2 linked regions of the Rhinolophus ferrumequinum genome follow. The protein of the gene in region 1 binds, or shares a complex with, the protein of each later gene. Links are inferred from orthologs where the notes say so. Each region holds a gene or a part of one and is shown on either strand. Other genes may lie near its edges. The genes, in order: TIMP2 and MMP2.

Evidence for each region.
Region 2: the proteins of TIMP2 (region 1) and MMP2 are in contact, whole or in part, in a crystal structure (PDB 1GXD), measured with the Homo sapiens proteins. The link is inferred for Rhinolophus ferrumequinum from reciprocal best matches to the Homo sapiens genes TIMP2 and MMP2. Residues at the interface, in NP_003246.1 of Homo sapiens: Ile162, Pro163, Cys164, Tyr165, Ile166, Pro169, Leu173, Met175, Val178, Thr179, Phe191, Arg196, Asp198, Ser200, Cys201, Ala202, Trp203, Tyr204, Arg205, Ala208, Lys211, Gln212, Glu213, Phe214, Leu215, Asp216, Glu218; in NP_004521.1 of Homo sapiens: Trp574, Lys576, Asn577, Lys579, Tyr581, Phe588, Arg590, Lys595, Asp599, Phe602, Lys604, Ile606, Ala607, Asp608, Ala609, Trp610, Asn611, Ala612, Asp615, Tyr636, Leu638, Leu645, Lys646, Ser647, Val648, Lys649, Phe650, Gly651, Ser652.

What each region holds. Positions count from the first base shown.
Region 1 is NC_046304.1:52,688,250-52,699,052, reverse strand, and holds the start of TIMP2 (metalloproteinase inhibitor 2), read left to right. Parts: upstream 1-6,175; 5' UTR 6,176-6,478; coding exon 6,479-6,608; intron 6,609-10,803. UniProt on the Homo sapiens protein: Complexes with metalloproteinases (such as collagenases) and irreversibly inactivates them by binding to their catalytic zinc cofactor. Known to act on MMP-1, MMP-2, MMP-3, MMP-7, MMP-8, MMP-9, MMP-10, MMP-13, MMP-14, MMP-15, MMP-16 and MMP-19.
Region 2 is NC_046298.1:8,771,515-8,782,956, forward strand, and holds the start of MMP2 (72 kDa type IV collagenase), read left to right. Parts: upstream 1-7,021; 5' UTR 7,022-7,356; coding exon 7,357-7,512; intron 7,513-10,110; coding exon 10,111-10,337; intron 10,338-11,267; coding exon 11,268-11,416; intron 11,417-11,442.

The sequences.
Region 1 (10,803 bases):
TCAGATCTGCCATGTTGACAACCAGCCCTGCCCCCACCCCAGCTCTGTGCCCAGCCAGCCTGACCCCCTTGGAGCTGCTGTGTCCCCCTACCTGTAGGCCTCAGCAGGCCAGTCCTTCCATCTATAACAGTGCCCCCTCCCTTTTTATCTGGGTAACTCCTGCCGACCTCCGGGTATCCCAGGCTGCCTCCCCAGACCTCCCACCTGGCTGGTGCCTTTGCTCCTCCATCCAGCCCCCGACGCGCCCTAAAGCTGGGGTGTACTGCAGGAGGGAAGGGGCCGCTTTTGTTCCATCTCCATCTCTGGCACCTGCACGCACCTGGCGCACGGCTGGTGCCCAATACTACATATTGTTGAATGAATGAGTGAGCTGTAACCTTAAGAAGCAGAGTCATGGGGAAGACAGATATGAAAACTAACCCAGGAGGAAACATGAGGAGTCAAAGGGGTCCAGGCAGGGGCTCCAGAGGGGTGGTTTCCATCTCTCCCTTCTTTAGGGTGACCTGCTCTGCATACAACCCCAGCTGGGAACCTCCTAAAACAGAAATCAACCCTGAGACAGCTTCAGCTGGCTGGCTGCCTGGAGCAAGGTGAGGAGGGATTTGGGCCATTCCAGGCTCTGCAGGAAAGGAGTGCTGGAGGGTGATCTGTGTCTGGTGGGGGTTGGGGCAGGGGGCAGGGGATGCCTGCCCCCCTGGAGGCCACACTGGGGTTATCCCCCCATCTGCCCCGAGGGGTCAGAACACAGTCCAACTCGATGGGGAGCACTGCAGGATACCTGGAGCACCCTCCGGGACTGGAGGAAGCCCAGTACAGCTTCGGTTCTGGGAGCCGTGCCCCCCAGACCCATGTGCCCCCCCTGGGGTCTCCAGGCGACACCTCTGAGGGGCCGCCAAGCAGGACGTGGAGAACAAGGGCCAGCCGTCAGCCCTGTTCCCGGGCCCCCGAGCATCAGAACTGAACCAGGGACAAGCAGGAAGAGGAGAAGCAGCAGAGTGGGCTATGAATGCTCGCAGCATCCCACTTCTCCCGGGGCCGGGCAGGTCCAGGGAGACGCGGGTACCAGACAGCGAGCCTCTGCCTCCGGCCTGTGGAGCTGGGCGGCCGTCTCAAAGCTGAGGAGAGGGCGGGAGTGCCAGAATCGGAGTCAGCGAGCGAGCCAGACCCAAACTCCAGACACCAGCTTGAAATGGCGGTCAGGACCCGTGAGTCACTTTCTGAGGACCCGGGCTTCCCTCGCCTTTCTCATGGCCCATGGCCTCTGGTCTCTCTGCTGGTGACAGAGCCCCCCCAAACCCTGCACTTTCTGTTGTCTGGCCTTTCAGCTCAGGGCTGAGTGAAGCCTTAGGAATTCTGTCCCCTCCCCCTCACCCTGTACACACTCCACAGGATGACGCCAGGGAGCCGGCACCTATTATTCCTTATGCTCCAAAGCTGGTCACAGAGCTGGGCTGGCATTGGAAGGTGACAAGAACCTGGGCGGGGGATGGAAAGAGCTTGGTGCTGCTGACTGCAGGGCTGGCCTCACCGGGAACGTGAAGCACCCCCAAAGAAGAGAGAGCCTGGGAGACAGCAGCAGGGGAAAGAAGACAAGGCAGGAACAGAGAAAGAAAACGGTGTTGGGGAGAGGGAAGGAGAGAGAAAGGGAGAGGGAATTCTTGGGCACAGCCCTAATCATAGCCTTGACATGAAATGTACTGCTGCACTCAGCATGGGACCTCCGCCAACGCCGCCAAACCAGCCCTCTTCTGTTTGGATTAGGCGGTGACATCATGGCCATGGGCCCGTCACTCCCGACACCAAAGGAAGGGAAGAATGGCGGGCAGGCGGGAAACCTGAGCCTCCCGCCTCTGGGCTTCCAGGGAGGGGAACCTGAAACTATGAAAACTCAGCCTCAACAAACCCCTGCCGAGCTGGGCTGCCCTTCCCCAGGTGTCCCACCCCTTGCTCCTGGACAGCCCTTGGTCCCCAGAACCCAGCTGAGGCTGCTTCCTGGAAGCTGGAGATGGACGGGCGCTGGGTTCCCATCTCTGCTCCCTGGCCCTGCTCCCTAACCCGCCCATGACAGGAAGCACATGACCACATGCCCAGGGCCAAGAGGAAATGCCCTGGGCATGAGAAAACGCACAGCAGCAGGCCTGAAAGGAGCGACTGCTTACATTTCTCTTACTCCTTTGTTTTCCCGACGACGACGTCTGAAGGAGGGTCTGAGGAGGCCCAGTGCAGGAGCTGCAGGAGGCACACAGGTGGGGCTGTGGGAGGTGGCAGAGGAAGGCAGAGCTCCGTGTGTGCCCTTCTGGGAATGGTGGACCCTCCCTCAATCCTGGAAGGAAGGCGTGCAGGACAGCACCTTCTGAGTTGGGGGAGGCAAAACGCATCTGCAGGGAGGCGAGGCAGTGCCATCCCAGAGGCCCCCAGAACAAGGTTGGCCAAGGCTTCCCTGCCTGGGGCTGATACCGCTGCTGCAACAGGGCGCCTGCCTGGAGGAGGTGTTCAGGTGCCTTCAGTCCGGGCTGTCTGCTCCCAGATGTTTTCGATGCGCCTGTCTCTTCAAGTCCATGACTTCTTGGGCTTCCTGTTGACAGCCTCCCTCCCTCCCTTCTTTTTGGGGTCACTCTAGACTGGACCATGCAGCCCCAGCCCTGAAGGCTTGAGTTCCGTGTATTGGGGAGCAGGAGTTGATATCCAGACAGGTTTGCAAGGTGGAGGCCCTGGCTCAAGGCTGCCTTTGCCCCAAAGGGTGCCTGCCTGGGAGGAGAGGAAAGGGGGCAGGTGGCAGGTGTACAGGCAGAGAGAGGCCAAGCCCCACTTTCTTTAAGATGCCCTAGAGGATGACAAGAAATGCAGCCATGGATGCAGCAAAAGAACCCCCAGTGGGAGGCGTGAGCCAAGAGCAGTGTTGGTGAACGAGTGGGGTCGTTTGAGAGTAAAGGCCTTGGGCCAGTACAGTTTCGGTGCTGGGAGACGTGCCCCCCCAGACCCATGTGCCCTTGAGCTGCAGCCAGGCAGGCTTTGGTGTTCCACAGACAGACAGCACAGAGAAACCCGTATTCCTGCTCTTGGAGCGGTCCTTTTTAGGGTCCTCCTCTGGAAGTTGTTTTTCCTGCACAAGGAGGAGGATGTGACATCTGTCCTGTCACCTAAGTTCCCGCCACCCAGAGCCACTCCTCTCACTTTTTGCAAACACCTTTTTCTACACCTGTCTATATCCATGCATATGTTTCATTTCACATGAATGAAACATTATCCATGCTATTTACTCATGGGCGCCTTTAAAGGACAACCTTTTCACTATCCCTTGCTTCCCTCCCTCCCCTGAGAACCAGTGTGGACGGGTGGTGCACCCGGAACACACACTGACGTGGGTTTGCTGCTATGGGCATTACTCTGCTCGACCTTGACACAGGCGATGGAACTTTGCATTTTGCTTTTCTAAAGAGCCAAGATTTTTATTAGTTTCCCTAAGTGAGGGCTTGTCAGCTGGGGTGGTTATGCTCCCTCCCCCACCCACCCCCCAGGAAACACTGGGTAATGTCTGGACATGTTGGGCTGTCACAACTTGGGATGGGGTGCTATCAGCATTTAGAGGGTGGAGGCCAGGGATGTTGCTCAATACCCCACAGAGCCCAGGGTGCCCCCCCCCCCAATGCTGTAGCCCAAGGTCAGCAGGGCCGGGGACTTGGAAGCTGGCCCTGGCTGCAGAGCATTAATGATGAAATTGATGAAATGAAACAAAAATAGGAACATGCTTCAGAACGTCCACCGCTGACCACAAAGGCTTATGTGGAGTGTGCAGGGAACTGTTGCCCATCTTTATGCTGTAGGTGGCCCAGCCATTCTTGACTCCTTGTCATCTTCAGGACGTCCTATGGCAAACAGCCCACCAGGGAATGTTGGGGACAGATATCTGGGCTGGGAGATGCCACTTGCCTCCTGTTGCCCAGAGTTGACAGAGGGGGCCATCGTGACCCTGAAGTCAGCTGTCCGTTCCTTTCTGAGGAGACGCATCACAAACCACAGAAACCTCCAGACAGCCAGGCAAGAGACACCCCCACCACCTCCCCCTACAGCCACCCTCTGCCTGCTGCCCCCAGACCTGCCCAAGACATTTCCACCCTTTCGGGTCCAGCTTCCTGCGTACGGGGGGCCTATTTTGATGCCCACACCCCGTAGAGCATCTGGCTTTCCAGAACCTGCTGGAAGAAGTGTGGGGGCTCAGCTCAGCACCAGCTCTCTCTAGGGAGAGAACACTCCGGACATGGGAGGAAATGGATCTCCTGCAAACCGGAAGATGAGTCCACCAGGAAGACATGCTTCCAACTCTTGTCCAGACTCACTGGATGGAGGTCACCTCTTGCCCAGGCCTGAGAGGTCATCCTGACTCTTTTTACCTGAGTGGGGTGGGAGGGAGGAGGCCTCGGCGCTTCCTCCTGGCCCTGGACAACATTTACTCTGCCAAGCCAAGCCCAGGATGTATTTGCTGGGTGTGCTCAGACCTGGGCGGGAAGGCTGACAGCTCCGCGGGGTTCTGCTGGGCTCTAAATTGGGAAAGTCTCTTTGGGGGGAGGCAGGTGAGTGTACCTGGTCAGAAGTGGTGGCCCCAGGGGTGTGGTCTGAGGGTGCTAGAAGCCAGCCCCTCCCCAGCTGGCCTAGCAGGCAATGCTCCCTCCTGTCTATCCTGAGTTCTGCTCTGCTGGGAGCCACACGTAACAAGCCGAGGTCCTGCAGGCTGTAGTCAGATGCACACTGCAGGGAGCGGTGTCTCCTGTGTGGCTCCTCTGTTCGCCCACTGCCAACAGTAAAGTAGAGGAGGCCGGTTGGGAGACAAGGTGCGCCCCGGGCTCCTCCCACCTGCTTCTCTCTCTTGCCTGGGTTTGAGGCAAACTGACCCCATCCTCCCTCCTTGGGGGTGAGGTCAGAGCTGCAGCCCTTTCCCTGAATTTCTCCCGTCTTGTTGCCCCCCTCTTGGCCGTGGAGCAGAGAACATGTAACACTACTCTATTTTACATGAACAAAGGCCGAAAAAAGTGACTTTGGGTTTTTGTCAGGGTGCTAAAAATAACTCCTCTGCCTATTTAACTTTTCTTCAAGTTGTCTGTTTCAAAGGACACATAAGTAGAAAGAAATGATTTTCCACTCTTTAAATATTTTCCAGTTTCACATCTCAAGTCAGCACCACACAGTTCAGCAGGCAATTATTCTTTAATTTCCTCCCTTTACATCTCCCCAGCTGGATTCGAAGCATCCTGTGGGCAAGAGGGAGGGTCTGTGTGTAAGAGCGCCCACTGCAAAGGGATTCAGGGCAGGCTCAATGACAGGTAGACAGAATCCCCCCGGGGTCACACTTCACGTGCCGGGTCCACACCTCTAAGATCTTCTGCCCTTCCTGGAACACAGAACTGTTTTGGGAAGAGTTCTACAGCTCCCACATTTGTGGGCTAAGGGAGGGAACTGTGAGCAGAACCCAGCAAATGCTTTCATTCAATCCTACCACCTCCTGGGCTCCCGGGCCCAGCCCCCTGGCTCTTGTGGGCTGGTCAAAATATGGCCAGTTTATATAAAATCCTGTTTTGTTCATAGTAACCACTCCTGCTCCCTTACCAACTAAACTGACTAAGCGGCCTTAAAATTCTGAGGCCTCCATTTGAAAAATGAATCCTCAGTAAGTTTCAGGAGGCCACCGACCCACAAGGAGGCACGGGAGGGGGCCGCAGAGAATGGTCCCTCTTCCGAAGCTCACACCCCTTTTGCTCAATCTCTGGCTAGAATCTAAGGGCCCCCAAAGGTGGAAGGGAATCAGGCAGTGTACACCTCCCATACCAAGCTGGAGGGGAAGGGGTAGGGGTGGTGGGTGGGCTGCCTGGTGCCTTGGGGGGGGGCTTCGAGTCCCAAGTGCTGAGTCAGGGCCGCCTGATGCGCTGTCCTCCTCGCATCCTGCCCCCCACTACAACCTCTGTCGGTTTGAGAGGCTGCGGAGTGCTGCCTAGGGCGGTGGGAAGCCAGGTGCGCAGCGGCGGGCCCCCCAGGGCACAACAAAAGCCGAGTTTGGGGTAGGGCCTGGGAGGCGCGGGAGGCGCGGGGGCGGGGCCACTGGAGCCCCTGGAGCCCCATTGGTCGTCGGCCACTGGAGGCGGAGCCCGACACCCTCCCAGCTCAATAAAGAGCCAGGTCGGTGCAAGCTTGCAGCGCACACATCCGTAGAAGGTTGTGGAGGAGCTGGGACCCGCGCCACACGCGCTCGCTTCGCCGCCCCCCACCGCTTTCTTCTCCGCGCTTCAGCCGCGCCCCCGCCCTCGCGCCTCCCCCGCGACACAGACCCGGGAAAGTTTGTGCGGGCGAGTGCGTGCCGGGTGCGGAGGGAGCGCCCGGGAGCGCAGTGAGACCGCGCACCGAGTCCGCCCAGAGGGGAGCGCCCCGAGCCCAGGCGGCGGCGGCCGAGCCCCGAGCCCGCGCCCCCGGCCCGCGCCCCCCGCCCGCCATGGGCGCCGCGGCCCGCAGCCTGTGGCTCGCGCTCGGCCTCCTGCTGCTGGGGACGCTGCTCCGCCCCGCCGACGCCTGCAGCTGCTCCCCGGTGCACCCGCAACAGGCGTTTTGCAATGCAGATGTAGGTAAGAACGACGACCCGCCCAAGCCTGGTGGGTGACCTCCCCCGCGGGGCTCGCGGGACCCCCGAGGGTTCGCAGGAGCCCCGCCCGCCTTCTGGCCCTCAGCGCCTTCTCGAATCCTGCAAGTTGACGCCAAAATCGCACTTTCTTTTCCCCCTTCCTCTCCCTTTCTTTCCCTCTCTGCCGAGATGCTTCTCAACCTCAAAATTCCACCGAAATTCCGCTGCAGCTCCAGCCCCAGAAAAGGGAGCCAGGGAACGGATTGGGTTTTGGCAGGCGAAGGGCCCTTGGGATGCCAGCGCGGGGGTGGGGGATAATGGGGGACACAGCGTGTGTGTGTGTGTGTGGGGGGGGAGTCTTGGCCTCTGTGGGCTGGAGGGCTGGGGACCCCAGGAAGAAACTTTCACAGGTGAAATGGCAGTTGGGCTCCTCTGGGCTTGGGGTTGGGTGGGGCTGGGCCTCTCCCACCAGCCCCGTTTGGGGGCTCACCGGATTAAAGGGGGGGCGGGATGAAAGCTTCCCTCCCGCGGGCAGGCTCCAGGGCTCAGAGGGGCCGTTGGGAGAGGCCTGCAGAACCCGTGGGCTGGCCCCTTGCTCCGTGTTCTGCCCAGGAGGGTCCTTACTGCTTGCTGCTGGTGACTACTTTTCAGGACACACCAAAACTGGAGACCTTAGTGACTGGAAGCGGGTAGGTGGGGTTGTGTGGCTGCTTAGAGCCCCTCGGAAATATCTATTATTCTCAGGACTTCTTGCCCCCCAGAGGTGGGAGCTAGGGAGGGAAGAGAAACCCACTTATTTGTTCTGGTCCTCAAGGGGCAGCAGGAATGGGTGGAACCAGCTGGGCCCCAGAGGTTCCCATCCAGGTCTGATGCTTGCAGGCTTCACCAGCTCTGGGGAAGGTCAGCCAGCTTGTCCTGGGGCAAGTTCAGTTTCACCAGAAGGACAGATGCCCTGCAGGTGGGCGGGCCTCTGCAGCGCCCTTTGACCTCTCAGTAGCTTTATTTTCTGTTCCTTTGTCGCAGCTGGGCTGCACTCACCTGCATAGGCTCCAAGCTGGGGTTTCTGGGTTCCCCCGTTGTCAGCCGTGCCTCCTGGACTCCTCCACACCCCAGCTGGCCCTTTAAGCTGCCTCTGCGGCCTAGCCTGGGCAGCCTTCAGGTGCTGCCACCTGTGGTATCACATGGCTCAGGCCACCTGGGCGTGGGGTGTGCTTGCTGAGTAGGTTCCACAAAACCCTAACTGGGGGAAGGAAGGTCTGTTCTCTGATTTGGTTTTGAAGCTCAGCAAGATTTGAGGGGGCAGGAGAGGTTCCTCCGTTGGGAGGATCTACCTTCCCGTGGGGTGTCCCCTGGACGTCCAGGCCTGTCCAGGCCCCTTTGCTGAGAGAGAAGCCATGCTTCTGGCCACCAGTTGTGGCGCAAAATAAGGCTGAGGCCCAGAAGGCATCATGGCTCTTGAGACTCCCCGGCGTGGCTCACAGGAGCCAAGGGGACAGGGGCTGGGCCTTGGGACCCCCTCACACTTCTCAGCTGCTCCTGCCACTCAGTGCTTGCCCAGGGCGGGCTGGGGCTGGGGTTTGGATCATGGGCAGCAAAGGTCAGGGTTGGGGAGCTTCATTATGCCTGGAGGCTCCTTCTTGCTTTGTGTGTTACTCTCTCCTCCGCCTGGATCTCCCTTGTTTGTGTCCAAATTATTGCATCAAAATCATGGAGCCTTAATCCCATCGCAGCCCGAGGCTGGGAGGGCGGGGCCTGCAGATGCCAGAGTTTCAGGGCAGAACCCAGTGTGTTAGACTCCAAGGGCTGTTGGAACAAACTGCTACATACTGGGGGGCTTCAAGCAACAGGAATTGGTTCTCTCACAGTTTAGGAGGTCTGCAGTCCAAAATCGAGGTGTGGGCAGGGCTGGTTCCTTCTGGAGGCTCTGAGGAAGAATCCATCCGGGCCCCTCTCCCGGCTGCTGGTGGCCCCAGCGGTCCTTGGCCGGCAGACGCATCGTTCCGCTCTCTGCTCTGTCTCCACATGGCTGTTTCCTCGGTCTGTGTCTGTGTCCAAATCTCCCTCTTCCTATAAGGACGCCAGTCATTGGATTTGGGCCCACCCACATCCAGCATGACCTCATCTTCACTTGATCACATGTGCAGAGACCCCGTTTCCAAATAAGGTTCCATTCACAGGTCTGCGTGGCCATGAATTTGGGAGGATGCAATCTGAGCTAGGCTGTCCAGTCTTGTTCCACAGTCAGCCCTTCCCTGTTTGGTGGGCTGGGAATACCGAGCTGAGACATCCCCGGGCTGGCCCTGGAGGGCCTGGAGTAAACCTCGCAAGGAAAGCAATGGCCTTTTCACGTCACTGCTCCTTTAATGGTGCAGGTTCGGGAATCCCTCCCCATTCCTCCTCTTGGGCTGAGAGCAGAATTGCCTGGGATCTTTTAACGATCACTCAGGTCTCAGTACCCTTCGCAGATGTAGAGTCTGGCTCAGACCTCTGCTTTTACAGTTTTGAATCCCCACAGGTGACTTTGTGCCATCAGAACTGTGGCCCAGGGTTCTGGAAAAGGATGATAGCCTGGTGCATGTTGGGGGATGCTAAAGGCTGACCTTTAATGCAGCATGCTGGCTTCTGTAATTGTTGGCCTGATGCAGGTTGTTAAATGGCTTGGTGTCTGCAAAAGGCTGTTGGCTTAAGAAGCAGATTTCTGTCTGCCTGTGTAAGGATTTCTGGGAGGTGTCTCCCAGCTTTTACAGCCGGTGGGATTGGAATTGTGGTCTGTGAAAATAGTTCATTATGAGGTTACGAAATTTAGGATGAAGGGGGTGGGAAGAGGCGATCTGGGCTCCTGGGGGGGAAAGTGAGGGTAAGCGGGCAGCCTTTCGTGCCTCAGAGCACCGCACGGATGTGCTGCTGGCCCGCTTCCCTCTGTCTAATGGAGTCCTTCTCCATCTACGGCAAGCCTGCACAGCTCCAGTGACCCGGCTGGATACTGGCTTTGGCACTCTGGGCTGCTCGGACCAGTCTCTGGAACCCAGAGAATAAAATCTTCCCTCCGGCCTGGGTAGCGATGTCCAAAGCCACATCGTTCCAGAAGGGCGCCCGCAGTGCCATCTTTCTTAAGATTTTCCGTGTCCAGACACTGCGAACCCTCTGATGGTGTCTCCAGCACCAGGTGGGGAAGGGCTCACAGCCAAGACCACGTCCTGGCTGCCAGGGCAAACAGCCGACCTTGTACATGCACTGATGGGGGCCAGACCGTGGCCGCCCTGGAACAAGCGCCACAGGCTCTCAGGAATGGCTCTGTCGTTCCCAGACGTGTGCTCAGGGAGGCAAGGTGATGAGTGCAATCAGGCCTGGGGTCCATGGGTTCGGGGTGGGGTGGTGACTTCTCCAAAATGCATAATTGATCCGCATTTCGTACACGCTGGGTTTCATATCAGGCTGTTTCAACAAGCAGTTGTGGGGGCACTGGCTCTGCTCAGGCGGTGTAAGGGCGAAGAAGCCGGGCATTACCCCTGCCCTCAGGGGGAGCGCTAGACACCAGTGCCAGGCGGTGTGGGTCAGGGTGGGCAGGAGCCCTGCAGGTCCCCCACCCCCGCCAGGGCGTGGTGTCAAGTAAGAGTCAATGTGCTTCAGGCAAACAACAAAGTAACGGTGTGCCAAGGTGGTACGCACTCCTGGGATCTGCAGATACAGGGTTCAGGTGGGAGGTGGGGGATGGGTCATGGTGGGACTGGAGCGCCTAGGCTCGGTTTTGGACAGTGTCTCTGGAAGGACATGTTCTCCCTGGGAATGGCTGGAATGTGAGTTGCTGGCAGCTCCCATGGTTGGGAGACTGGAAGAGATGTGTTCAGGGCACAGGCTGTACAGTGGGTGTGGCAGGTGGCTGGAGGGAGCCCTCCTGATGCCATGCATTCCTCCCTGTCTGACCTGAGGACGTGGTACCAGCCTGGGACCCGTTCCGTCCTCCAGAATTTGCAGTCCAGTCCTGGCCAGTGGTCCGTGAGCTTCAGACTTGGTTACCTACCTCATCTCTGTCTCGGCTGGGCTGCCAGGCAGTTCCCACATGTGTGGGCTGTGTGGTTCGAATCCTTTGGTGACATTTGAGCATGTGGAGAACCGGTGTAGTTGACTCCCAGGCTGACAGGGGAGGGGGCTCGAAGCCACCCTAGTCCTGATGCAGAGCCACTGACCTGATGATGCCC
Region 2 (11,442 bases), on another chromosome or scaffold:
GTTGTGAGTTTCACCACCGGGACCATCAGTGTACACATTAGCTATTTGATCTTGGGCCACTGACAAGCTCAAGTTAGAGGAATTAATTTAGCTTGTTGTGCAGATCTTATTCAGATAAATAAAAACCTTCAGTGATGTCCACCATGGATCTTATTGCATATCCAGCTCAGTAATGTCCCTGTTCATCTTTCAGATCATCTGTAAACCAGATTATGTCAGCATTACTGATAGGCATTTTCGGTAAATCATTCTAGGCGCAAGAAAGGTGGTCAGTAAGCAAAATGCAATCGTGGATGTCTTCATCCTGCAAAGAAGGTAGCAAAGTCGCTAGGTTAAGACTGTTACATCAAGTTAAGGTAGTATTAGGCACAGACAGCAAGAGTGCTTCATAAGAAGCCAGTTGACTGACAGAAGGGTTGAGTGTGATGAAAGAAAGGTCAGTGGGGATTTAACAGAAAGAGGAACATACATAAAGGAGAGCTGATAACTGTTTCTTCTGTTTGTTTGCATAACGTGGCTGTAGCACAGATGGCGGTCATGCAGGGAGGAGTCCCTTTGGCTACTGAGTCTAATTGTTGACTATAATATCCTATAAATCTAAGATGAACTCTATGTTTTTGAGCTAAAACTCCAAAAGCTGTTCCTTTACTTTCATGTAAAAAAGGAAGAAAGTTTATCAGTAAAGTGTCTCAGAGCAGGAGCTTTAGAAAATTTTTCCTTCGGAGCTTTATAGCTTGTTTCTCTTCTGGGTTCCATTGAATTGGATCAGGTTGAACTGATTTTAATAAGACTTATAGAGGATGGGCGATTGCCGAAACATTTAACATCCAACTGTGACAGTAACCAGTCAGACCCAGGAACCCACTAAGCTGCTTTTGTTTCTTTTAGAAAAGGAAAGGAAATTATTCCTCTGAGCCTTTCATGGTTCATTAGGAGCTCATCTTTAGATGTTAGATGACCAAGGTATTTTACTTGGGATAAACAGAGTCAAAGCTTGTCCTTTGAGGCCCTATGTCCCTTTATAGCTAGTAGCTCTTGTAATAGGTAGATAGATTGTATCCTCCTGGGAATCTACTATATCCCAGAACATAAAGTAAATCATCCACATACTGGATTAGAGTGGAATTTCTGGGAAATTCAGTATCATTCAAGTCAGCATTTAGTATTTGAGAGAAATAGGTGGGACTCTCTGTACACCCCTGGGACATTACTGTCCAAGTAAAGCCCCGATCTTCCCAGGTGAAAGCAAAGAGGTCTTTTTTTTTTTTTTTTTTTGACAGGAATGCCGAAAAAGGTAAATCCATCACTGAAAAATATTGGCAATCCACAGGAATAGCTAATAATAGGGTATGTGGATTTGGAACCACAGGATATCTTTATTTATAGCTCTGATGTCCTGTGCAAATCTCCATCCTTTCCCATTGGGTTTCTTTACTGGAAGGTTAGGAGAATTACAGGGGCCCATGCATGGAGTTATAAGCCCCCTTTTTATGTATCTTGTAGAATGGGCTTAATTCCAGCCAGTTCATTAGGTCTTAAAGGATATTGGTGAATATTAGATAGAGGCAAAGTACTGTCAATAGTTATTTTAATAGGAGTGGCTTAGTCTTGCCAATATCTGTACCGGAAAAGGCCCAGAATTGCATTGGAACGTCCTGTAACAAACGTTCAGTCAGTCTCAAGACTAGTTTTCTCTTGTGCAGTTTCCTTTAAAGTCATTATTTTCTCAGTTGGTTCAGTATCTGATTCATTTAGTTCTAAATACTTTTCATCCTTTTGGGAAAAGGATATGTGGGTGTCATCGGTTTCAAGAAAGTCTCACCATATCAGGTGAATTGGGACAGATTTGACTAGTAAAAAATATATGTATGTTACACATAACATTCCCAAGTTGGAAGGGAACAGGTTCTGATTTAAAAACAGACATTGGTTGATCAGATGTCCCTACCATTTGTAAAGACGCTTAGTCCAAGGGCTAGGACAACTCAGTTGGGTAGTGTTAAGAATAGATAAAGTAGCTCCGTACCTACAGTTCTCTTTACCTACATTCTCTTTTTATGGTAATTTCAAAAGTATTTGTAAGGAGAAGGGGAAATGCCCTCTCATAGTCCTTGGAGCAGCCCAATGCTTGCTTCTGTTTCTTTTCTTCTTCTAGATCCCATTTCAGTTTTCTGCAGTCCTTCTTAAGGCAACCTGACTTTTTAAGATAAGAACAGATTCCTCTCTCCCCTTATCTAAGAGACCTCCGGGGAGGTCTGACCTGATTGCTTAATTGCTGGAGCTGTAAGTTCATGATTTTGGCAGCTTTGTATTTTTGTACCTTTTGAATTGTTTTAGATAGTTGATCAGCCAGAATTACCAATTCATTAGTACACGTGGTCAGCCAGTTTAATTTATGCTGTTTAATCAGAGTTCCAGCTCTTCATCTTGTCCTTCCAAAAAGGCCGAATTTATTATATTAAGGGATCATTTTGATGATCCTTAAACTGTCTGGAGACAGACCTGTGTATTGTTTGAACGTTTCTTTGTAAAGTTCAAGGAAATCAAGCCCTGTTTCATCAGGCTCTCTTTTACATTGCTGGATCTTAGTCCTGTCCATTTTCTGGGGCAAAACATCTCAGATATGGCTTGGTAAAGCCACAGGGCTAATTCTCTGCATTTTTCTTGGTCTGTCTCTGTTTTAACAAGTCCTCTATAGGGGCTTCCCAGTGAACCTTATTTACCCAATCTGTTGCTTTCCTCTCAGAAACCAGTAGGTATATTAACTGGAAAAGGTCAGAATAGCCAGGATCATATGTTCTAACAGTTAAATCAAATTCCTTTGCAAACTCATATGGTCCCAGAGAGTGAGGGAAATTTTAAGGTAGAGTCCTTAATTCTGTTCTAGTCAAGGAATGTGTACAATCACTGGTTTTCCTTTGCCTGGCGTTTCTCCAAAGGGAGCTGCCAGAATTTCTGTTGGATTTTGTTTTTTTCCCCTAGTCTACCGTGGTCTGGTTTTCTAGTCTGAGTGTCCCCTAGGTCAATAGAGAGCTCTGGTGAAAGAGGTGGAGGAGAGAGAGAGAAGGGGGAGGGGAAAAGAAAGTCCAGACAACGAAGTAAAGAGCTACAGCGGAGCAGTTGGAGAAGAGAGAAAAGTGGGGCTGTTGGCACTGAGCAGTGTCAGAAACTTTCCTTACTTAAGAGACAGTCTCTAAAATTTCCTTATTAACTTCTTGGAGATAGTATCTCTGTGCTCTGTTTCAGAGGCTTCTATTTGCCAATTGAGGTAAGCCTCCCATTCATTCTTTTTGATTTTAGAGATGGCTTTTTTCTCCTATGGTGCATGCAAAAAAATAATAAGAATAAGAATTTAGGTGTAAAAATAACTCCATTTCGGTCATCTTAAGTTGATATCACTTCTAGTTAAATCTTTTTTCTGTAAGTACTTGCAAGTAGAGTTTCTTTATGAATTGTACATCTACAAGAATATTAATGGGGCTGGAGGCTGGGGGCTTGTTGTCCTGGGAGGCAAAATTTCCCAAGTTCATTTTAGTTTTCTTCTGAGATCTGCAAAGCCTGAACACATTTCTAGGGCTCTTGGGTAGTGGGCTGAAGTGGACTGCTTATGAGCTCCAAGGTGCTGTCACCTCCCGAGTCACTCCAAACTTCCTATGTGTCTCAGCTTCTTTCCATACTATCTAATAAAACTGTGAGGACCCAGAGCGCGCTAGGTAACAAGCTTTTATATGCGTGTCCCAGGGCAGCCAATTGTTTAATTGCAGGGGTGTTGGAATTTCCTATGGGGCCCTGCTCATTTTGAGGACTACCCTCAAACACCTCCACATAGTTTCTTAGTCACCTCGTACCCGAAATTTGAGCTGAAGGGAGTAAGTGCCCCTTATCTTTGGAGCCGAACAAGTTCAGACTCTCATTTATCCAGCAAAAGGTTTTGTTCAGACTCACAGTAAGTAATTTCCGTTGGAAAGCCGAAATTAAAAACCAGCCACCCGGTGGCTCAGGCAGTTGGAGCTTCGTGCTCCTAACTCCGAAGGCTGCAGGTTTGATTCCCACATGGGCTAGTGGGCTCTCAACCACAAGGTTGCTGGTTCGACTCCCTCAAGGGATGGTGGGCTGCACCCCCTACAACTAGCAACGGCAACTGGACCTGGAGCTGAGCTGCACCCTCCACAACTAAAACTGAAAGAACAACAACTTGGAAAAAATCCTGGAAAAATACACACTGTTCCCCGATAAAGTCCTGTTACCCTTCCCCAATAAAATCTTAAAAAAAAAGAAAAAGAAAAGAAACAGCCACCCATTTCTTTTTCTCTGGTCCCTGAGTTATCTCAACCCTTGTCCTTAGCCTGGGTTATTTCAACCCTTAACCTTTAGTGCCACCTTGAGGATTTATTCCCCCCTAAGATCAGCTCAAAGTCAGGGCCTTAAAAAAACTACCTTAAAATAGGGAGGTTCAGAATTCCAAGAAAAACTCACCCAAGGTCACCTAAGGCAAAGTGGGGAGCCCATAGGGCACAGTGGGCCCCTGCTGGTACCGAGCACCGGGTCAGGGTCCACAGGGTAGTCCTGGGTGGGCTTCTTTGGAATCCTGCCAGCTGCACCAAGTAAATGTCAATGAAAGAACACCCAGCCTAAAAAAAAGTTTTATAAGAGTTTATTTGAGCCAAACTGATGACAATTGCTGGGAAGCAAAATCTCAACAGACTGAGAAAATGCTCCAGAGAATGGCAGTTTTGCAGCTTCTTTTACACATTAGAATCAAGGGAGAGGACATAAGGAGGGTTATGTGAAATCCGTTAGTGGTAGATTAACAAGGCGGGAGAAAGCAAAGCAGCGAAATCGCTGGGATTGGATAAAAAGTGAAACGGAGAGAGACACACACTTCTCTTACATCAGTGGATGCAGGATAGTTAATAATTAACATTTGGGGCATGTAGAGATGGTATTCGGGGAATAAGATGATGATGAGGGGTGCTGTGGTCTCTAGATGGTGCATGCAGTTGTGCCGTGAGGGGTCTGGCAGAGATTATGCTGACATTTCAAAAGTATGTTATCTTACAGGCAAAAAGACCAACAGACAGGCTCACTTATGGCAAAGACTGACCTTTGTCAAGGAAGCTACAGGCCTAGGATCTGACTACCTGCCATGACTTGCTTTCAGTTAGAAATTTTTATGTTGATCATCCTATGTGGTTACTTTGGTCTCTGAGTTTGTCGGGCCCGCCGTGCAAGCCTCCGCTGAGCTTGTCAAGTTTAGTGCGTGGCCCCTTTTTCATCCACAGGGGCAAGTGATGTCAATGAGCAAAACTAAGCTGAGTGAGTCACATGCAAGGCAATAGAGAATGGTGGGGACTGTGGCAAACCAAAATGCATGCCTCATCTAAAAGGAATAGCAACTATTTAGCTTCAGCTAATTGTTGCCAGGTGGAAACCGGATTGCCAGAGCTTTGGGAATTTTTAAAAGGATAGCAAAAAGTCAGATTTTGACATCAAGTTTCCCAAGTTTCAAAATGCTGTTCCGACTGGATTCAGCCCACAGGCCACGAGTTTGCAAGCCCTGCTTTAGTGAGACAACTTTTTCCATTTTCACTCCCAGCTCTGGCCTCTCCAACTTGGCTCTCTGACTCTCCACAGGCCATGGACTTGGGCCAAGTGGGGCCCAGACAGGAGGCAACCCCCTCCCCACTGACCTCAGACTCACCCTCCCCAAAACAGCCAAGGCTTCTCCCTAGATCAGGCTGATAGGCCAGCCTCCCTCTTGCAGGACAAAGTCCCTCCCAAGTGGCTCCTTTCACTCTGACCTCTTGTAGGACAGGAGAACATGCCTGCCAGGCAAGCCTGTATTTTGTTTTAAGCCCACTGAGATCCAAGCTGCAGACGGCTTTTACTGATATTAAGATAAAGGCCAGGTTCATCACCACGACCCCCAAAGCCCTCACAGGCAGATTGTTGCTGACCCTTTCAACCCATGATTTTCTTCCTCAAATTGGACCCTGCTGACTGCCAGGCCCATCTCATCACCCTGCCCCCTACCTTTCTCAGATAAAGGGAACTCCCTTCTCCAGTGCATCCTGCTGTGTTTCATCTCTGGACCTTTGTATGTGTTGCCCCAGACTGTGCCTGAAACATCCCTTTCACCGCTCCCAACCCAAACCTTTGTTTTGTAGCTCTTCAGGTCTCAGCTCAGAAGTCACTTCTTCCAGGAAGCCTTCCCTGACCATCTATACTAGTTTAGAGGCTGAGGTAAGGTGTTGCCAGGACCTGCTGGAGATCCCCCATCACAGCTTAGCACTTAATTATTCTTCCTGAGAGAGGGAGGGGACATTCCTGAGAGACAGGTAGCAGGACTTCTGTGTTTCCAAGTGTATATCTATTAGGTTGGTGCAAAAGTCATTGCGGTTTAAAAGGTTAAAAATAATTGCAATAACTGCAAAGACTTGTGCACCAACCTAACAGCACCTAGCATTATGCCTGAGGCCCAGTAAATGCTTAAATATTTGCAGAAGGAAGAAAGAAAAGAGGCAAAGAAGAAAGGCAGGAAGGGAGGAAGGAAAGAAGGGAGGAAGGAGAGTGGGACACTCCAGTTTATCTGTTTCCATCTGTCGCTTTCCATTTTGTCCATCTCTCTCTATCTTCATCTCTAAACATCTACAATCTTTCTCCATCACGTAGCTGACGTCTGCTTCTGACCCTTCCTTTCCATCTCTGACCCGTGTCCCTGGAAGTGCTGACATTCTTGCCCCCCGGGCGTCCTTCCAAGAACCGCCGTTCTCCAATATCGTGAGTCTACAGTGGTCGTGGCAGATGTTTCCCCGCAGGGGGTCTCTTAGGCTTTGTGCCCGGATTGGTGTGTAGGGGTAAAAAGGTCGCGCCCTGCTGCTGCACGCAGAGGCCTGGAGCAGCAGGCGGCAGGGAAAAGAGGCGGAGAAAGGCAAGGAGGATAAAAGAGGAGGGCGAGTGGGGGAGTGGTGCGGAGAGAGGCGGGCCTGAGCGCCCCCCGCCCCCCCCCACCTCCCTACATTGCCAGCGCCCTCCCAGCCCAGCCGGCCACATCTGGCGGCTGCCCTCCCTTGTTTCCGCTGCATCCAGACTTCCTCCGGCAGCGGCTGGAGGCTGCGCATCTGGGGCTTTAAACATACAAAGGGACTCCGGGACCGGCAAGCACAGGCGGTGGTGGCACGGGCCGGGGAGCGGGGGCCGGACCATGCGCGGCTGAGCGGGCAAAGCAGAGGCCGCCGAGTCTAGTGGTCCCTTGGAGCGCAGCGCTGCGCGGCGGAGCAAGCGCCAGCCAGGAGGCGACTCAGCCACACGCGCCGAGCCAGTGACCCCTGGGCGACGTGTGGGCCCGGGAGAGCAATGACCGATGCGCGAGTGGCCCGGGGCGCGCTTGCCGGCCCCCTACGGGCGCTTTGCGTCCTGGGCTGCCTGTTGGGCCGGGCCGCCACCCGGCCATCTCCCATCATCAAGTTCCCCGGAGATGTCGCCCCCAAAACGGACAAAGAGTTGGCTGTGGTGAGTTGCTCCGCGGGCCTCAGCGAGCCAAGTTTATAAAAACTAGGAGGCGGAGGGTGGGGGTCTCCCAGCCATACCTCCTCCCTACCTCTGGGGACAGACAACATGGGGGAGGGGCTTCAGTAAACAGCTCGGTGGGGGTGGGGGTGGGGGTAAAGTCGGCCTGCTGGAGGAGGGATCTGTTTTGGAAACCATAGGGGATCTTTGGTAAGTGGAGAAGGTCTTTGATAAACCACTTGGCAACTTTCAGGACACAGCAGGGAGGAGAGAAACACTCAGGGAAGGGAAGGAGGTGCTTTGGCAAACAGCTGGAAAAGGCCCCTTTTGTAAATAACGGGGACGTTGTATAGTATCTGGGGGATTTGGCAAGGGGGCTGGCTTTGTAAACAACTTTTGGACACATCTGTAGGGTTGGCTAACCAGGCCCTTGGCTAGCCTCTTGGTAGGCCTTTGGCAAAAGGCCTAAAGGGGTCCCTTTTGTAAACGGTGGAGGATCTTTTTAACCCCCTGCAGCACTTTGGGAAGGGGATTCTTTGACGCACAATTTGGATAAACTCTTGCACACGTTAAGTTCGAGTTCCAGGCCAAGCAGGACTTGGCAAACATCTGGTAACCTTTGGCACACATCTGGACAGGGGCCTTGGACAGACCTGCGTGAGGGAACCTTTGGGCAAATATTCAGGGCAGGAAGGAAAAGGAGAGCGCATCTTTTTTGCCTGGCTCAGTGGACAAGTTGGCCTGGAGAGTCAAGGGTTGGACCTCAGAAAGTTTCCTCGAACTTCTGCAAAGAGGTTGGAGGGCAGGAGAGAGGTGGCCAGCGGGGCGGGGATGGAGAGAGGGGCAGGCGCAGGAGGCCTGGCGCGTGGGGCGGGGGCGGTGGAACCCGCGGGTGGGAGAGTGGCCAGCCAGCCCTCCCTCCTGGCGGGGCTCCGAGCTGCGGCTCAGATGTTGTTCTGAGAGGGAGCACGCCTGGCTCCAGGCGCACCCAGGCCTCAGCGGGATTCGGGGGGCAGCGGAAGGGCACTACCCCTCACCCTGTCAGTGCCTCAAGCAGGAGACCCCTCAAAATGTTCCTTCTAGCCCACAAGACATCTGCCCCTTATTGCTTTAACTCCCTAGAAATCCCCTATGCTCCATCAGCCTGATCCCCAACCTGCCCAAGACAGCACTTTTATGCCCCAGGTCACCCTGGGCACCCCTTCTCAGGATGTGACCCCCCCTTTTCCTGCATCTAAGCCTCTGTCCCTTCTGCATAAATGGGTTGGGAGACTTTACATTTTTAGGGGGCTACTTTTCTCACAGGTCTGGAGCTGGCTGGCATTGTGATGTGGCTCTTGGTTGGGGGTGAGGGTAGAATTTTGGAGCATTGACAAAGCTACCTGGGCCCCCACACCTTCCACAGCGTGTGCAAGTCTATGTCGCCTATAGGCCATGCAGTGGGAGGTTTGAGAAGTGGGCTTCAAACGCCGGAGTGCACTCACCAACTGGCCTAGTAAGTGTGGGCAAATGACCACCTCTCAGTCTCAGCTTCTTGTGCAAAGGGAGGATGATAATGATACCTCTTGGACACTTTGAAGTAGCACATGGTAAGCCCTCCATCAGTATTAGTCATTATTGTTATTATTATTATTCTTATACCCTGTATCTTCCCTTTTCTAACTATCCCCCCAAACAAGGTTATGGCCCCTGTAAAAGGGTCTCCTGACTCCTTTCACCTTTCTAATGCAGTACCCAGCACATATTTAATTTTGCATTTATTTCTGGTCCATCAGCCTTCTCCCATTGGGGTTTGAGCCCTACAGACTAGAAACATCTGTTGTGTTCACCAGTTTATCCCAACACTAGCAACAGGCCTAGAACATGGGACATACCAAAAAGTATTTGTTGAACAAATAAATGAGCTGCTTGGTTCCTGACTCTTTGTACGGGCCTGTTTGGTTTTGGCCTTGGTTTTGGCAGAGCCACTGCACAGCCCCTGAAGGACAGGACTATTTTCTTTTTGAAAATGATCATTCCAGGATATGAACCCAGGTCTCTGCGGCTGGAGCCCATGCACATAGCCCCTGAATCTCTCTATAAGAAAAGTGAGAAAAATAATCCTTATGTCATCAGCAGTTAGGTGGATTAAAAGAGGTGATGGAGGTAAAGAAGGGTGGTGGAGCGTTACAGTTCTGATCATGGCGCTGGAGCCAGATTGCTGGGGTCCAAATCCAGCTCTGCCATTTGTGAGCTGTGTGATCTTAGGCTAGTTTCTTAACCTCTCTGTACTTTAGTTTCTTCCTCTGTATGATGGGGAGAGTAATAATAAGTACATTATAGAGTTACTGTGAGCATTACAGTTACGTGCTAGCTTCAGTGCCTAGGCATATAGTAAGCACCCAGTGCATGGTAGCCATGCTCTCTGTGGCTGTTAAGTCTCTCAGCTAGTGGGTGTCAGAGCTGGTTTGGGAACCCAGGACTCCACCTAGTGCCCTGGGGCCCCTGGATTATGTCCTCTCTGAGCTATGGGGCTGGACGGGGGACTAGTTATTGTAGGGCTTTGGTCAGTACTATGCCATCCTAATGTGGCTGCTTGCCTCTGTTGCTCATTTCTTCCAGCAATACCTGAATACCTTCTATGGCTGCCCCAAGGAGAGGTGCAACCTGTTTGTGCTGAAGGACACACTGAAGAAGATGCAGAAGTTCTTTGGACTACCTCAGACAGGTGCCCTTGACCAGCGAACCATCGAGACCATGCGGAAGCCACGCTGCGGGAACCCCGACGTGGCCAACTACAACTTCTTCCCCCGCAAGCCCAAGTGGGACAAGAACCAGATCACGTACAGGTGCCGAGGCAGGGCTGGGGCAGCAGGGCCTCTGGGCTACGGGACACGGGGTTTCCTTGGGCCTCTCCCCACTCCGGGCAGCCAGGAGGTGACTCAGGAGGACTTAGCATCTTAAGAAGTTTGCATACAAAGTTCTTAGGAACCGGAGTCAGACAGACCTGAACTAGAATCTCATACTTACTAGGTGTGGGGCATTGGGCTACTTATTTTTCAGTGCCTTGAGCCTTGGCTTTCCAATCTACAAGATGGGAAACAAAACCTTCCTCATAGGTTGGTTGGGAACGAAGCTAGGTCACATTTCTAAAGGGCTTTCACAGTGTCCAGCATCTAGTAACAGTGTAATACCTGCTAGCCACCATTGTTACTAGATGGGGTCGTTGGTGTCGGTGGAGGGAGCTGGATGATTGGTTGCTAATTGGTTTTATGTTACAGTATAGAGTGGCTATAATTGGCTGTTGATTGAGCTGAGAGCTCTGTTCTGTACAGCTCATGCTGGATTCCAAGGATGAGGTCTCTGCCCTGTGTCCCATATGCACTATTCATGTCCCTGTGTGTCCCCGCAGCCAGAAGTAAGGGATGGGAGTCCTGAGACAGGGCCTGAAGGTGTTGGCTCATCTAGGACTGCACGGAACCTCAAGCCGTTCTGGGCAGGCTGTCCTCCCCGTGAGCTCTGCTCAGCACACGCCGTATACCTGCACAAGCATGGACACTCACAGGCACACACTTGTGCACACTCCAACGCATGCACCCCTCTTGCTTGTGCACACACCCACACACCTGTGCACATACACCCACCCTTGCACACATTCATGCACTCACACAGTTGCATATACACACACTTGCACACATGCATGTATGCTTGCATGCATGTGTATACACATGTTCCTTTGCACACACGTACACACTCATATGCATTTCTCCTACCTCCAGGATCATTGGCTACACGCCTGACCTTGACTCTGAGACGGTGGATGATGCCTTTGCTCGTGCCTTTCAAGTCTGGAGTGATGTGACCCCCCTACGGTTTTCTCGTATCCACGATGGAGAGGCTGACATAATGATTAACTTCGGCCGCTGGGGTAGGAGAGCTGGGGCCAGCAGGGGT